Linked DNA regions of Pelodiscus sinensis. The protein of the gene in region 1 purifies or fractionates together with the protein of each later gene. This does not show direct contact. Links are inferred from orthologs where the notes say so. Each region holds a gene or a part of one and is shown on either strand. Other genes may lie near its edges. The genes, in order: EYA2 and ACAD9.

Evidence for each region.
Region 2: the proteins of EYA2 (region 1) and ACAD9 purify together in Homo sapiens (affinity purification with mass spectrometry; 3 studies listed by BioGRID and IntAct, with this or other methods). This does not show direct contact. The link is inferred for Pelodiscus sinensis from reciprocal best matches to the Homo sapiens genes EYA2 and ACAD9.

The regions. Positions count from the first base shown.
Region 1 is NC_134728.1:22,269,486-22,278,427, forward strand, and holds the start of EYA2 (protein phosphatase EYA2), read right to left. Parts: upstream 3,400-8,942; 5' UTR 3,379-3,399; intron 3,322-3,378; exon of another isoform or gene 3,146-3,321; intron 3,007-3,145; exon of another isoform or gene 2,630-3,006; intron 2,617-2,629; exon of another isoform or gene 2,338-2,616; intron 1-2,337. UniProt on the Homo sapiens protein: Functions both as protein phosphatase and as transcriptional coactivator for SIX1, and probably also for SIX2, SIX4 and SIX5.
Region 2 is NC_134721.1:48,472,719-48,481,479, forward strand, and holds the start of ACAD9 (complex I assembly factor ACAD9, mitochondrial), read right to left. Parts: upstream 3,972-8,761; 5' UTR 3,913-3,971; coding exon 3,787-3,912; intron 1,228-3,786; coding exon 1,134-1,227; intron 1-1,133. UniProt on the Homo sapiens protein: As part of the MCIA complex, primarily participates in the assembly of the mitochondrial complex I and therefore plays a role in oxidative phosphorylation.

The DNA.
Region 1 (8,942 bases):
GTTTGCGGGAATTATACCTATTTTAAGTCATTTGTTCTTTAGCAAAAACTAAGTGTCCATCACAGTTATCTAAGCACAATTCAGTAACACCAAGCATAAATTTGTCAATACTTCAATGTGCCTTGTTACCATAGTGCATGTCTGAATTTAACACGTCTGTATAATAGTAATGTCTGCTCGTGTTGTAACTTAGTATAGATTCTTAGAGTTTCTCTCCAACTAACATTTTATTCCTCCTAAATGAAGCTCTCTTATAATGAAATTTAAAATGACAAAGGTTGTGACATTTTTTAAACAATAGCGCATTTAGACCCTTTCAACCAAATTATGGTCTTATAATTAGCAAGTCATGGGGATCTAGTCTCACTGAAATATTTAAAAACAAAATGGTGGTGAGGGAATACAAATGATAATGTTTAATAGATAAATTTATAACCTGCTGTTGTTTATTTGAATAAATCTGTCACATGAACAATTTGATTTTAATTAATTTTATTATTTAAGATAAAATCATGAAGTACTCTTTTGAGAGGATTTTTCTGGCTTTTTTTGGATTTTGGAGAGTAGTTTGTTAAAAAACAATCATCAGGGTTATTGGCTGTAATACGCCTCTCCAAATGAATTTCAAATGTGATTTTTGAAAGATGATATTGGAACATATTCAATGCTACAAATACTTACAACTCTGTAGGACAACCATCTTGAAGTCTCTCATAATCACACTTACAATATTATGGGCCATCAATTGTTAAGCAGAAATGGAAATTATTTGTCTTTAAAAAGTGATGGTGCAAGATGGCCCAGAAAAAGAATCAGCCTGTCCTAGATTTTTAAATCTAACATCTTAGCGCCCTTTAAGCTGTTTTTACTTTGGAAACAAACAAACAGGTTAAATATCTGCTATCTTCTTGGGCTCAGCATGCAAGAACGTTCAAAAATGTCCAATACATATGAATTGCAGTGTCACATGAAAATAGAAGTCCTCGGTGTATTTGGAAACTATGAATGACAAAATACTCCATTAAAAGCATTCCAAAAGAGGAAAATTCTCAGTAAACCAACCAGCAAATTCTATTAAGTCTGAACAATTAAACCATTTTGTCCAGTTACATTAGGAGTGTTAAGGAATATGCATGTCTGATACTCTACCAAACAAAACAGTTTTTAATAAATTGGATGTAGACCAATAAAAGTTTAATTAACCATGTGTTTTAACAATTAAAAATTTCATCCAAGAGGAACATATTAAATCAATAGATTAGTAATTTGAAATACAGCGGCTGTATACCTGAAATAATTTCATTTAGCAGCATTCTCTGAATTCAACAAGCTGTGTTTAAGCGTATAAATCACACTAAAGGTTTTCCCCCTCTGTTCACTGAGAACAAAGATTTTGTATTACTTAATTTTATTTAAGTCTATAATTAAGTTACTTAGTTGTGGTTTGTAAATAAACTTGTTTTACACTAGTTAAATGCCTTGCATAGTGTTTCTTAAAAACGCCAGTTAACTAATTTAAACTAATTCCAGATATAAAACGTTAAATCTTATGCTCCAGTACTACATTTAAAAAGCCATTGCAGAATTGATGACAATGTTTTTGCAATACAGTTTTCTGACATTTTTTAGGTTACTTTTTTTTGGGCACGAAGGTATTCAGTACATCAAGCCTAAGCTAACATTTTACAACTTCACATTGCAGTAATTTCTAATTACTTTATTTTGATGTTCTTTTAATGGTCTTGTCTCTGTTCAAACTGCTTCCTAGCATGAGTGAAATGTCTCCAAAACAAAACAATGCATTATCTTGTGTTCTGTATTGCTGTAATAGGGAGCCTTAAATCTGAAATAAGTTATCACCCTACTTTAAATGTATGCCAATGAACCCAAAATAAGAATGCAATTACACTTACAGAATAAAAAATAGCCAGAGCATTTGCAGAGTGGAAGTATAAATAGAAGTACTTGCATCTTAAGCATTATTATGGACAAATAACTGGTACTTTAGAATGGAAATGAAAAACGTATCAAATTGCTCTTTAGTGAAGGAAAAATCTCTACTTTTGTATACTAAGTTTTACTGTCTGTCCACACACAGTCACACTCTTTTCCCACATGATTCAAAACTACTGATGCATAGGGTAAATCACACCATTATCGACTTATAGCAAACAAATATTCCACTCCAGCTCATCTGATGAAAGTGGGTTTTACCCACGAATGCTCATGGTCCTATACCTCTGTTAGTTTCTAAGGTGCCACAGGACTACTCATTGTTTTTAAAATTACCCCATGTGTTCACAGAAAACTGAGAAAGCAGAATCAATATTCACCTACCCACAATGGCATGAGGCTTAACATTAATTCAATACTCCGCTCTCCCGCTTCCAGCCCCATGAGCGAACTAGTGTCACCAAGGAAGATTTCACCCACAAAGAACTCCCTTCCTACTCTTATCAACACTATTTAACCCCCCTGCTCAGTCTCGTTCGACTCACCCTCCCTGCCTTTTGCAAACTGCTCCAAAACCATACGAGGACTGAGCAAACAAACAGCGTCATTTCCATGCTCATGAGTTTGATTTTCTGTTAACTGCTTAACCAGTGTAAAATGCCACCGATTCTCCTACCGGCTGCTGCCCCTCGCCGGGGTGGGCAAGGGCAGGGAGAAATACCGCAGCGACCCAGGCACGCCGCGGGCAAGTCTCTGCTTTTAGGAAGTGGAGGGAAGAATTTTTTCCAAGCGCGGCTCCTGCGAGGAGACAAGGAGCGTGTGCCACGACCATGCGGTCGAGTGTGACAGTTTCCTCTTCCTTCCCTGCGATGGGGCAGGTTGGGGGTATTGGTCTGGGGAGATGCACTGGCCGGGCTCCCCACGCCCCGCTCCCCAGCCCTAAGAAACAGAAGGCGGCAGCATGGGAAGGACCGGAGCTGGGTATTTCATCCCAGCGCCCAAACCCGGTGCGTAGTGCCCGCTGGGCACATGTCCCTTAGGCAGCAGCCTGGACAAGGGCGTGGGGAGCCGTGCCTAAAGCATCCCTGGCCTCTCCCCGCCCCGAGCAAGGGCCGGTGCCCAGAGCTCCCCAATGCCCCTCTCCGTTCCACCCCGGGGCCAGCGCACTGGCAGGGAAAGGGGGCGCACTCACCACCGGCTACGGACGGTGTTCGCCCCGGGGCTCTCAGCTTCCTGTCCCCGCAGCGCCCGCCAGGGGAGGGAGGCCGGGGCAGCTGCTGCGCGGCTGGGAACTCCAGAGCCGGTGTAAGAGCAGCCTCTGCCTGGTTTCCCAATGTGCCCTCCAAACTCCTGACACAGCCCCAGTGAGCATGTGCGGAGTGTGTGTGCACATGCCCGCTGGGAGAGTGACGCCTCTGCCCTTACCTTCTCCCCCGCCAGGAGTCCTCGAGCGACCCCGGAGCGCAGGGCTGCTGGGGAGACGGAAGGGCAGGTGTTAGACAGCGGTGTCACAGAACTAGCAGGGGATTGCAGCGCTCTGGTGCGCCTCTGCAGTACTGGAGCAAAGGATGCGGGGGGCAGGCGTGGTCCCTAGAGTGAAGTAAAAGTTGGAGCCAGACTTAATAACCAACACCCCCATAAAATCATGAGAGGGGTTGAAAAAAATCACCATAAAAACAATATTTGGGGATTTATTGTCGCTTGCCTGCTAGCTTGGAGCCTGTAGGGCGCACTTAGGCTTGAAAATGTGACCCTTCTCCTCCCACACGAGTGTTAGAAAAGAGAGAGAATTCGGAGAGAGAATTCTGAGCGCCTCAGGGAATCAATTGCTTGTATCCAAAAGCTAAGATCAGAGGTAAATCACCAAATATGACAACTTCTTGCCATAAAAAAAGCCACCAAAGTTGGCAGCACTCAAGAGCTGTTACCCCAATAATGATTTCATGGTGCCGTCAAGAAGTTTTCATAGGGTGAGATACACAGGGTTGTTCCATGTACATTGTGCAAATGTGTCTGCTAATATATAGAATATATTTTTACTCTTAATTGTCTTTCATATTACTCTGCATTCCTCTTAATTATCATTCTTGATTGTATTTATTTTGATTTTACTGACAATTGTTTAGCCTATTATTTCCCTCTTCTGAATTCATAATGCTTCTGCTGCTGTTGTCAAACTTGCCTCCTATTATAAAACGTTGTTTGGCTAAAGAAGGACCTTTACAAAATGTGACAAAACATAACAAAAACCAATATATGTTTTCCATCATTTAGAAATGCATAATAGTATAGCATGCTTTTGTTGGTTTTATTAAGATAAATAAGTAGCTATCAATTGATATAAATAGCCATTTAAATTGTCAACAAAAGAGATTGATGAGGTAACTGGTTTCAAAGTGGATGTCCAAATATCAAAACTTCTTCATAGAAGTTGGTTTCCACTACAGTAAAACAATTGTTTTTGTGGCAGTTTGCTCTTATACATGCTACTTCACTGACGTTATTTCAAAATAACATAGTCTGTGTCTACACTACAAGCAATTATTTCAACATAATATTGAAATAATGTCCAGCTGGAGGACTTCTTGCTCCAACTCCTGCAACTCTCATTTTACAAGGAGGATGAGAAGTTGGAGAAAGAGTGCTCTTCCTTAGACTTTCTGCTGCGTAGACAGCACCAAAAGCCTAAATAAGCTATTTCAACTTAAGCTACGCAATTGACATAGCTGAAGTTGCGTAGCTTATTTCGGCTTTAGCCCAGCTGTATTGACATGCTAGGGCCTGACCCTGAAAACACTTACATGAGTAACGTGATTCACCTGAGTTGTCCTACTGTGATCACGGATGTGCCAGCAACAGAGTTTTTCACAGTGCAGAAGATGTATGCACCACCCCAAGCAGCCCCTTCAGATAGGGAAAGCCTATAATTTCTTCTGTTAGGAGAGTCAACCCACCGCAATACAGGGTAGCTTGATACATGAGTCACACAAACAATTAGAAACACTCATACATGTCCCATATATACACAACAAAACCACGAGATAACACAGATGCATTCTGATCCTCTCAGTACATACACATTACTGATTTGTACTTATATGCGTGGGGAGACGTGCATAAGTACATACAGGGGCGGATGAGTTTTGCGAGGCTCAGGACACGGGGCCTATTGAAGCACAGGGCCTGGGGCAGCTGCCTCACTCGCCCTGCCCTATATCCGCCGCCGAGTACATACCATCTACCCCACATTCTCACACATACAGACAGTCTCTTCCACACATATTAATACACTCATGGATTTTACTCATTTGACAATGGAACAAAAACATCACTACTACTAGACAGCTGTTTTTACTAAAATCCTTTGGATCAGCCTGACTGCAAAGTATTCCGACATTTCAAAAGAAATCTAGAGTCCTGCATCAGTATGGAGCTAGAAGAGTTCCTAACATGAACTGCCTTCCATAGCCCCCAAAACCAAAACTCTTTCAGTTGTTACTCTCACTCTTCTCCATAAGTTCACAGAACTAACTCAAGGATTTGCTGCAGTTCTGAATTCATGTCACTCGTGTTAAATTAGCCTAAATCACTAGCCCGGATTATCCTTTCTCTGATTCTTTTCACCCGCCCAGAATTCTGACTCAATGACTGGTCCACAGGCTATCCAGAATTAACTATGTCTTTCAGGGTTAGTCTCTACAACACTTTCTCCTTCCTCCAATAACCTGATTGCCCTCTTAACTCGGCTATTTACCAAGTAGGTAAATATGGAATGGTACTTTAAAATGTCTTATATACAAAATTAACTCAGCTCCTCATTTAATTAAGTATGTTAGTGGCTGCACAATGTTATGCACATGATCAATCATATTGAACTCAGTGGCTATGTCTAGATTGGCAAGTTTTTCCGCAAAAGCAGCTGGAAAAACTTGCCAGCTGTCTACACTGTCCGCTTGAATTTCTGCAAGAACACTGACTTCCTACTGTCTGAAATCAGTGCTTCTTGTGGAAATACTATGCTGCTCCCATTCGGGCAAAAGTCCATTTTGCGCAAAGCTTTTGCGCAAAAGGGCCAGTGTAGACAGCTCAGATTTATTTTGAGCAAAAGCGAATCTAGATTGGCATGGACGCTTTTCCGCAAAAAATGCTTTTGCGGAAAAGCGTCCGTGCCAATCTAGACGCTCTTTTCCGCAAATGCTTTTAACGGAAAAGTTTTCCGTTAAAAGCATTTGTGGAAAATCATGCCAGTCTAGACGTAGCCAGTAAGTTTACTCATGTACTTAAAGCCAGGCACATGCCTAGCTTTATTATTATTATTTGTATTAGTGCCCAAGGACGCTCGGTCATACATCTGTTATGCTAGGTGCTGTACAAATTCAGAATAAAAAGGCAGTCCCTGCCCACCAAAGAGTTTACAGGCAAAGCAATTATTAATTGTGGTCTGAAACACTTGTTATGAGCGGATGGGCAAACAGCTCTATATAGTAGCATGTTGATTTATCTGAAGTACTTTAGTAATATGTTTAGTAGAGAAGTTTTGAAGGGGGGGAATTCATTTTCATAATTCAAAATATTTTGAGCCATTTTGATATATAGCTTTTTATATCACTTTTCATCTGGAGATCTTATAGCACTTAAGTCAGAAAAAAAAGTTTCATTATTTCCATTTTATGGCTGGAGAATCTGAGGCAAAAAGAGGTGAAATCATTTGTGATAGGTTACAGAACAAATCAGGATTAAAAATTGGGATTTCCTAACTCCCAGCCTTGTGCTTATTCCAATAGTGCATGCTGTCTCTGTGGATTAAATAACAAATGGATGTTGTGCAGACATATGTGAATTAATAACAGTTCAGAATCTATATGTCCAATTACTAGATAGCGTTTTTTATGTTCTTACAGCTGAGACAGTTGAAGGGCCATCTGGCTAATGCTCCCAGAAGGATGCTTTCCGTTAAAGGCATACAATTTTCTCCTCAGACACCTGAGAGAGAGAACTGTCTACTTTACCTTCATGTGGGAAAAGAATCAAGACCATAAGATCCTAAGCACAAGCAAAACTGTTCTCTACAACTAGGGCGTGAATGTAACAGTGACATGGACTCTGGTTAGTCATTCATAGATTTTACTATTTACTAGATTTGTTATTCAAAATGGATTAACGTTCTGCCTAACTCTGGGAAATATGGAACCGTACCTGCTGCTTTGTTTCACTGTTATAGCTATGTGTAGCTATGTAAAATTTCCAGAAACCACTTAATTCATTGCCCTGGGCCTTAGGATTCTTATGTATTTCCAGAAGGGTGGTGTCATTCGATTCAGAGCTGGTCCTGTGACTTCTAGACACTGAAAAGATAAAACTATTGCCCAAAAATGCAAGTGGAAGAGTGAAGTATATCCACGAGAGCTGAGCAGGATCCAGAATTTTCATCCCATGGGAAACTTGTATTTCTGAAAAGAAAAAAAAAAGAATTGGAATAAATCATAAGTGCAAAATTTCCCATGCAACAGCAATATCTGGGGGTGGGGGTAGGGAACAGATTCAGAAAACCTACAAGGGAATTTTTTAAATATTTTCTTCTGGCTCCCTGGCTGTCCTGCTGGCAAGCTAGTTGTACAGCCAGGAACACTGGATAGTTCACTCAGCTGCCAGGCAAGCATCCCAGGGAGCTGGCCAGCTGAGGGCCTAACTGCCCATAGAGTCTTAGGAACCCCACTTCTACGGCATTTTGTCATGTGGACTACTGAAGAGTTGGCAGCCCCAGATCCTCTGCAGCCTCCCAGGTCAAGCTGCTGGGGAGCTGGAGCAGAAAATTCAAGTTTTGTGCAAACTGTTTTTTCTGTCAGAAAATTATTCCAAGGGAACATTCCCCAACCAGCTCTAGTATTCACCCCAAGAGGCAAGGAATGAAAACTGTTACATCAGGGAAAACAAATGTTTCCCCAGTATATCAATCCAGGCGACAAAGGGGGAAAAGTTAAGCGTAACTTAGCAGCACTTTTTAGCTTCAATTATGACTTTAAACCAACTCCTGAAACCTACCTAGACATGTGGGAAGTTGCACGGATTCCAGTCGGGGTAGAGAAGTATGTGATAGGATATGATCCAGTATTGCCAATCCTAAGCATCCAATAATTATGAGCAAAACCCCAATCATTGGCTTAGAAATTATGAGATTTCAAAAATAAAAAGTTTAGAGTCCTTTTTGTCTTCTTGTATTTGAGTCTTTAGGGTTTTTTAAACTTTTTTTTGCAATGATGAAGGCCAACAACTTCCTCCTTCCTCATTCCCCATGAAAGATGTGATTATTAGCTAAAAATATGATTCTAGGAGTGAAGGGTATAAGAAAAACTCCAAATTACATGATACTTGGTATTAAATAGCAAGAGCTAGTGACACTATGGTCTCATAACAATTATCTCCTGGACTGCTGTAATATTTGTCTCCCCAGAACTAAATATTTGGAATGATTATTGTTCATTATATAACACCTTTCATTTACATTTGCTTTATAAACCAAGGGTGAGGCATCCTACCACAAAGATTTCACAAGCTGCACAAGACCAACGTTACCCTAATCCTTACTTGTTATAGAGAGAAACATAGTTTTTTGTTTTTGTTTTTTTGTTTTTAATTTGCCCCCAGACTACTAGGACTCAGCCTTACAAGGAACAGAACATGCTGTGCCTGATCCAAAAAGGAGTAATAAGCACATACTTAACTTTAAGCACCCAAGTAGCCTCAGATTGGCCTCAATGAAGCAGAACACTTAAGTACCTATAATGGGAGTGCTCAGTTGCTCAGAGTTAAACTTGCACAAAGTGCTTTGCTGAATCAGTAAGAGTATGCTCACTCAGCACCTTGCTGGATTGAGTCCTCCATAGCTAAGCACTGCTTCAACAAAGACCCCATTCTAGCATCTCACATTTATCATCAGAACTGAAGGCATCCATTCAGTATATTTTTGTATGTATTTACAGTAAATAAAA
Region 2 (8,761 bases), on another chromosome or scaffold:
TCGCTCACTTCCCCCCAGCTTAAAAGCCAGCTTCCCCCAGCACCATCTCCATGCAGGGGTGAGGACGGGAGGCAGAGGCACAGGCACAGTGGGGGCGACCCGGCGTGAGCCAGGACTGAGCCCTGACGGCTCTGACTACATTTAAAAAGCAAAGCCGCTGCGACCCCCCTTATAAACTAGTCAATGGAATTCCCAACCCCTCACTTGCATCTGGAAAAGCATTCAACAGCTCCTGCAATCATCAGACACTGTCCTATTTCAGCTCACTACTGCAATTCTGAAGTAGATGTAAAGCGGAATACTGCAACCCAGTGCATCTTATCTCATCTCCTCAGATTGCAGGGAAATTAACCCCTCAAAAATATATCTGGAAGGAGAAGTTACTTGACCTTGCAATTCTGCTTCTACTGGTTCTAGTCCCTAAGGCATCAATAGTTGGAGAGAATATGAGCAAACTTCTCTCTCCATGGTAGTTCCTGGATTGCATAGGAGAACGGCCATTGGAATTTTCCATTCATTTCTTACAGAGTAAGTAGTGAGCACTCCTCAAAGCAAATAAAACTGAAGAGATTTCTGTAAGGAGAGAGATTCTCAGAAGCTGAAATACTCATCCAGCTGACGAGGCAGAGATCCTCAGTGATCTTTCCCTGACTGCATACAAGAGGAATGATCTGGAAGGTTTCACTGGCAGAAGTTTTAGTTCCAAGTGGTGATACCTGAATATTTCAAACCAGAACTACTGCTCTAGTTAAGATTGCAGAACATAGTTGTATATGCTCTTAGATTCTGAAATATTCTCTTTTTGTGCTAGCCTCCATTGAATTTGGTTGGAAAGATGAGCAAAGTCAGAGGCTTATAAATTACAGGACAGTGAAAGGAACTTTTAAATGGAAAAATTTAAAGAAGCAGTTTCACTTCTTACATCTGCCCCAGATCTCTCCTTTCAATGTGTGCTTTTATAAATTATTCTTCTATTTCACTTTTCTCTTTGCACAAACCACAAAAAGAGAAATTGACAATGCAAGGGGACACAGTCACTGTATACACAAGTCACGATAAATGCCCAAAAGTTTTTTTATTTTAATTATAGTAATAAGAAGCCATTTATGTAGAAAAAAAGATAATAACCATACCTTCTTCATTGAAGAACTTTTCTACTGGTCCTACAAACTGGTTGATTTCTTCTAATTCTTCATTAGAAATCTCTGGATAAGGGAAAACTTCCTCCTAAAATGTCAGTTTTTTAATATGATTAAGTTTATTTAAAATAAAGAGCAGGTTCAAGAAAAAACACATGGCTTTTAGATGATGATGTCTTAAAAAAAAAAAACCCAAAAGAGCAGAAAATGTTTACAGGAATTCAGATAGTCTCAAGTGAGCAAACTTATTTACAACTTTCAGTAAGTGAAAGATACTTGTTCTGTATGGAAAACAGTATTTTTCAATTATATTGCATGCTGAAACAAACCAGAAACAGCATCTGAAAATGAAAAACTGGAATGAAGAAAAAAAATTTGATATGTAAGGAAGTGCGCCAACAGGTGAAGTGAGCTATGAACAAGTGCACTGCTTTCATCCCCAAAGGCACACAACTATTAACAAACAATCAAAAGTTTAACATGTGCCTCTGTTGCTGCCTGTCCAACAGTTCACTGAAATGTGGAACTGAAAGTGACCATACAAAAATCCTCCTTTACATACATCGGAGAGTAATTTATTTTTTATTTATATATAAATAATAATTTAAAAAAATCCTTACACAACTTGTTTCCTAACAATTGAAACGAACAAAAATTGAAGTGCAAAGCATGGTTGTACACCCAAATGTGATAACTCAGCAGTACAGAATCCAGGATCTTTGGACCTTGCACAATCTCCATAGAATACAGGATAACTTCTATAGGAAAAAAGTCTCAGAGGGATAGTTGTGTTAGTCTGTAATTAAAAAAAAAAAACAATGAATGGTCCTGTAGAAGCTTAGACACTAACCAAAAAAATAAAAGATCATATCATCAGATGGAGTGGGTTGTGCCCACAAAAGCTCATCATACTATACTATCTATATTTCTGGTTTGTCTCTAAGCTGCTACTGGACCATTCATTGTTTAAGTTTCTATAGGAAAGAAACTCAAATTTCAGAATGATTTCAACCTGTAAAAAGATACTGCTCTACTATTTGCTAAGCATCTAAAACAGGAGAAGGGAACCTCCAGTCTACCCAAGTCGCAAAATGGAATCCTCTCCTGCACCCCACCACCTCCCTCTGAGACTCTGCATCTAGACCCCAACCCTCTACTCCAGATTGGAACCCCCTTCTATACGCTATGTCCTGCCCACAACACAACCTTCTGCTCCAGCCCCGAGCCCCACTCTCACACCCTGAGCCCCTTGTTTTTGACCCCAGGCCTCCATGGGGCTGGAGCTATGAGAACCTGATCACCCTGCTGCAGTGGGAAGACCCAAGTCTCCCCCCACCCCTCCATGTTGATTTTTTCTGTGGGTCACTGGCCTCTGACAGGAAAAAGATCCTCCAGCCCTGCTCTAAACTATTCTTGACACTATAAATTGCAGACTATAAACAAAAGAATAGAGTCCCAAATTTCATAATATTACAATTTACATGACATAATAAAAGCATATGGAATATTTCACTGGTAAAAGGCGACCTCCACTTTGCTTTTTTTTTTTCTTTTTACATATAAACTCATTCCTTATAAATCCCATTACAGAACTGCTTTTTTTTATGAAGGACACAGATGAAGAAAGGCAGGTAGGATGGCAAATTAAACTGGGGAGAAAGTTCCATATAAAAGGGGAAGCCCCAGTCAATTGCACAGAGGTGCCAATCTAAGGAAACTATGAACACTGTAGCACAGGTGAAGAAAAAAATATGGTAACAGATTTAAGACCAGGGCACAGATATAAACCAGGATGAAATTGTGAAAGACTCTGAATTCAGACGGAACGAATTGGCGTCCCTGTGGACGACCTCAGGGATTAGGGTTGCCAGACGGTTTCAACAAAAATACTGGACGCACCTGACATTAAATCGCAACGTGCATGACACGTGATTTAGAAGATACGTTTCTATTTTCCCAATTTGTTTCCCAGACGAGGAAGCTCAAATACTGGAGTGTCGGGTTCAAAGCCAGGCACCTGGCAGCCCTGGCAGCGACCCAGAGGCGGGAAAGACACGTGCAGATGGACGGAGGCGGCAGCTCAGTGGATCCCCCCCCCCCCCCCCATGTGTGTGTAAACACGGAAGAGATTCAGCGGTGACATGTTTGTCCTCCCATAAACGCGTTTTAAGAGCCCGCCCACCAAGCAGCAGCTTCGCTCCGGAGCGTCCTGTAGCGGGGCGGGGAGGGGAGGGGAGCGCCCCAGAGGCCTGGCCCAGGCAGTGCGGGGAGGGGAGGGGAGGGGAGCGCCCCAGCGGCCTGGCCCAGGCAGTGCGGGGAGGGGAGGGGAGGGGAGCGCCCCAGAGGCCTGGCCCAGGCAGTGCGGGGAGGGGAGGGGAGGGGAGCGCCCCAGCGGCCTGGCCCAGGCAGTGCGGGGAGGGGAGGGGAGGGGAGCGCCCCAGAGGCCTGGCCCAGGCAGTGCGGGGAGGGGAGGGGAGGGGAGCGCCCCAGCGGCCTGGCCCAGGCAGTGCGGGGAGGGGAGGGGAGGGGAGCGCCCCAGCGGCCTGGCCCAGGCAGTGCGGGGAGGGGAGGGAGGCGAGGCCCGGGGGAGGCTCCCCAGAGGCTGGGCACACACGGGGGGGGGGGAGGGGCGGAAGTCCGGCCTCACCTTCCAGAGCTTCCCGAGGAAAAGCTCCTTGGCGTAGGCGCAGCGGGGGCCGCCAGTGCGCAGCTGCCGAGCCCCGGCGGGGAAGGCGGCGCGCGCCGCCCGCAGCAGGAGGCTGAGGCCGCTCATGTCCGGACGGTGCTGAGACACCCCCCCCCCGCCGCGGCCCGGCGCCCACAAACGTCGTCCGGGGCGCACGCTGATGACGTGTCCGGCGGGTCACCTGACCACAGGCGGCCGACGGAGCCTGAAGCGGGTCTCCTGCGCCAAACGGCTCCCTGCTGAGCCCATCCGCGCCCCCTGCTGGCCGCCGCCTGCCTGTCCCTTAGCTGCCTTCTGTGCCCGTCCCGCCCTGAGCCTGGGCACAGCTGCCCTGGGCCTGCTCTCTGCAGCCCCACCACCCCTCTGGCCCCTGTGGCTCTGCCCCGGGGTGATCAGATCCCAGGGCTGTGTCGACACTGGGCCACTTATTCCGGAAAATCAGCCGCTTTTCCGGAATAAGCTGCGAGCTGTCTGCACTGGCTGCTTGAATTTCCGGAAAAGCAACGACGCTCTACTGTACAAAATCAGCCGCTATTCCGGAAAAACTATTCTGCTCCCGCTCGGGCATAAGTCCTTATTCCAGAGCACTGTTCCGGAAAAGGGCCAGTGTAGACAGCCCAGTAGTCTTTTCCAGAAAAAAGCCCCGATCGCGAAAATGGCGATCGGGGCTCTTTTCCGGAAAAGCGCGTCTACATTGGCCACAGACGCTTTTCCGGAAAAAGGGCTTTTCCAGAAAAGCAGCCTGCCAATGTAGACGCTCCTTTTCCGGAAAAACTGAAAACGGAATAGTATTCCGTTTTAAGCAGTTCCGGAAATTCATGCCAGTGTAGACACAGCCCAGTTGTCTTGTCTCGCTCTGCCTTTCCCCAGTGCTGCTTAGGGCTGGTTGCCCGATGGTTTCAATGAAAGTACAGGACACACTTAATGACATCGCAATCTACATGACATCTTATTTAGAAAATACCAGACGTTTATATTTTCTCAATTTGTTTCCCAAACAGAAAGCTCAAATATTGGACTGTCCAGTTCAAAACTAGACACCTGACAACCCTAGGTATGCCCTGTTCAAAGTACCCCTACTAGGCTGCTTGGTCCCTCTTCCTCCAGAACTAGAGCAAAGATAAACACTCACTGCATAGCAGCCCTTTTATACAGCCCAGCTGGGCTGTGATTGGCTGCATCAAACCTCCTTCCAGTTGGCTTCTAAGACAGCCCTCTCCCACAGTTTTTTTTAAAATCCCTTATAAACCAGAACAGAGCAACTGCCCCATTTCAGTCCCATACCTGAAATGCTGATCTTTTTCTGGACGTGCAGCCCCAAACTGAAAATGGAAGTTTATATGCTCCAGCCCTGCGTTTGCCACAACTCTCAGTTTTGGCACCCCATTTAAGGTCACTCTATCCTATAATCTTGATGTCATTTTGCACTGGCTTTCAGGAAAAAAGATACAACATTCTCTCTTTTTTTGCTTAAGTAGTCTCTCCTCACCTTAAAGTAATTATTAAGAAGAAAAAGTGATGTGATAGATGTTAGAAAACTTTTAACTTGAAATCTATGACCTCCATCACTTTATCTCACTTCTCTTTAAACTCTGTTCTAGTTCTAGCCTTCACAGCCTCCTGCAGCAAGGAGTTCCACAGGTTGACTCTTTGCTTTGTGAAGAACAACTTTCTGTTACTAGTTTGAAGCCTGCTACCCATTCCTTTCCTTTGGTGTCCTCTAGTCCTTCTTTATGGGAACTAATGAAGAACTTTTCTTGATGCACCCTCTCCACCCCACTCATGCGTTTATAGACCTCTACCCTATCCCCCCTCAGTCTCCTCTTTTCTAAATTGAAAAGTCCCAGTCTCTTTAGCCTCTCTTCATATGGGACCTGTTCCAAACCTCTGATCATTTTAGTTGCCCTCCCCTCTCCTACCCTCTCTCTTCCCCTCTCCCACCTCCTTTTCCCAGTCTTCCTGAGTTTTGTTCAATAAAGAGAGATTCTATTTTTGACCACACGTGTCCTTTATTTTGTACATCAGGAAGGGGGGCTAAGGAAGGGTAAGTGGAAGGAGGTGAGGGAGGAATGGGGTACGAGCCCCCGATGGGGAGGACTGGGCTGGCTCTGCGGGCTTCTGGGGGTGGAAGCTCTCCTGCAGCCCCCCAATTGCCCCCTCTCCCCAGATGGCTACCTGCGGCAAGTGCAGCCAGGCTGATGGCCGAGTGCTGTGATGTGCCCAGTGTGGGTACTCCGGGCAATCCAAGCCAGGACTGCTTTGCAAGTCCGGGGTGGGGGTCGGGTCCCTTTAAGCACAGCCCTTGGCTAGCCTGAGGCAGCAGCTCCACGCTCTAAGTCCTCATCTGATGCCCTGCCGGCACTGCTTCCGGCCATCCTTAACCCCGGTTCAGGGTCCACTTAATGTGGACATGCTAGTTCGAATTAGCAAAACGCTAATTCGAACTAGTTTTTAGTCTGGATCCGTTAGTTCGAATTAGCTTAGTTCGAATTAACTAATTCGAACTAAGTTAGTTCGAATTAGCGCCGTAGTGTAGACATACCCTACGAGTCTATGAGAATTGACAACTTTTTTTCTCCATTTTTTCCTCTTCTCTTTCCGTCCCCATCCCCTCTTTTTTTGCTATTTATTTGCAACCCGGACTCCTTTACTCCATTCATCTGAAGAAGTGGGTTGTACCCACAAAAGCTCATGATGCCATCTACAATTTTTGTTAGTCTCTAAGGCTATGTCTAGACTGCAGGCTTCTTTTGGAAGAAGCTTTTCTGGAAGAGATCTTCCGAAAAAAATTCTTCCGAAGGAAAGCATCCACATTGCCAAAGCGCATCGAAAAAGTGATCTGCTTTTCGAAAGATAACAAGCATACTGAATGGACGCTCTCTCATGTGTAACCTGTGATTACTATGGGAGGAATGGCCAGCAGGAAGCCTGTGTTTTTTCCTCTTTCATCTTCTGGTGAAAGAACTCCCTCTTCCCCGTCCACACATGCTTTTTTCTGAATGATCTCTTTCGGAAAAAGGTTTCTTCCTCGTAGAAAGAGGTTTACCAATGTTGGAAAAAACCCTCAGTTCTTTCAATTTTTTTTTGAAAAAATGTGATTGCAGTATGGACATAATTGAAGTTTTTTCAGAAAATCTGCGATTTTTCTGAAAAAACTCTGTAGTGTAGACATATCCCAAGGTGCTGCAGGGCTATTGGCTGTTTTTTAAGTTTTTTCAGGGTAAGGGATTTCACTTTCTATAGCTATTCTTTTTTACATAAATATGAAGATAATACAGGATTTAGGGTCCCGGTAAGAATCTGAAGTGCTGTAGCTTTCTGGGAATGGCTCATTTCAGCCAAGGTCAACCCACCTGTGCTTATATGCACCAGCCACAAATCAGAAAAGTATCATTATTCTGGACAACACTTCAGCAACTTAAAGGCACTCCTGAACCTGGCCCTGAATTTGTCATTGCTTGAAGAGAAGCTGGTGTTTTCAAATGTTTGTGTTTTGAACAATTCTGTTACATTCGCAGTAATAAAGCAACAAGACACCACTATGGTAGAATTTCCACACATAAGGAAGGGAAGCACATAAGGAAGGAGCTTTGTGGCAAAGCAGGTGTCTTGAAAACCTTGGGGTGAAAGCTGGACTTCTACTCACTACCATTGAGTCAAGATTTCATCCATGCTAGTGATTTCACACTGGCGTAAGTCAGGAGTAACCTCACTGAAGGCAGTGGAATGACATAGGTATAAAACTTGTGTAAACAAGATCAAAACCAAGCCATTGCTTTTAAGTCTGTAGTGGTAGATAAGGCTAAAGTAAGAAAGAAAAGGAGAGGACAGAAAGGAGAATGGAAGATCATTGTTAGTACAGAAAAATAAGTGATATCAACATTATAAGGAAATGACACCATAACTCATCAACTAAGGCCAGTATTCAGTAGCCAGTGTTATTTATTTGTTTAGTGTGGAGTTGAATGTTTTAAGAACATATGTGAAGTTTGCAAGCAGTTTTTTTTTAATTTAGTTTAGAGAAAGTAAAATTTCAATTCAAGCCATAGCAACTTCAAACAATCCACTTGTTAAAAGATGCAGGCTAAAAGCTATCCGGATCTTAGTGTTCCTGAGGCCTGGAGTATACTCTGTCATTTACAAATATATATGAGATGGAAAATAACAGGGAAATATTGTATAAGCTATGTTTTCTTCTTTATCATTCCTATCTGCTTTTGGCATATGAGATAGGAAAGTGGGGTTGATAGGCCATAGCCAATGTGTTTCAGAGTAACAGTGCATGTCTAGGTAACGGTGCGCAAAACCAGTGTTACTGGGTAACAGTGCATGTCTGGGTAATGGTGCATGTAACCAGATTGTTACTGGGTAATAGTGCATGTCTGTGTTGCTGGGTAATGGTGCATTACGTCTTCATTCAAAGCTACTTTATAATAGGAATGAATTAATTACCTGATTCTTCTGGTCTGTTGTGATTGAAGCAGCTGCATATTGATTGCTCGTGCTGTTGCTTCAGATAAAAAGCGTTTTACACTTCTTTGCCAAACATGCATTAAAGTCTTATTTTGCAGCAATAATGAGTAGTTGTAGATATGAAATATTTTCCCACTGTTCAAAATGCATAAAAACTTCATTAGCATTAGAAGAAATTAATTCACATTGAGGAATACCAGACAGAGTCTTTCTTTGTGTATTATCTACTTCAGTTAAAATCACTACCTCTATAAGGAAGGAATCAAATGAAAACTGAAGTTGCTGTGTAAGTTACCCTATTGCACAGCTAATCAGTTTTCTCTCTCTCTTACCCTACTCTGGCAAATTGATTTATTTCATTTGGCTGACATGTCTTCCAAACCATGCAGCGAATTTCACATTTGAGTTATGGTGACAATGCTAAGTAAAAACAGCATTTGCTTCCCAAAAGTTGAGTAATTAA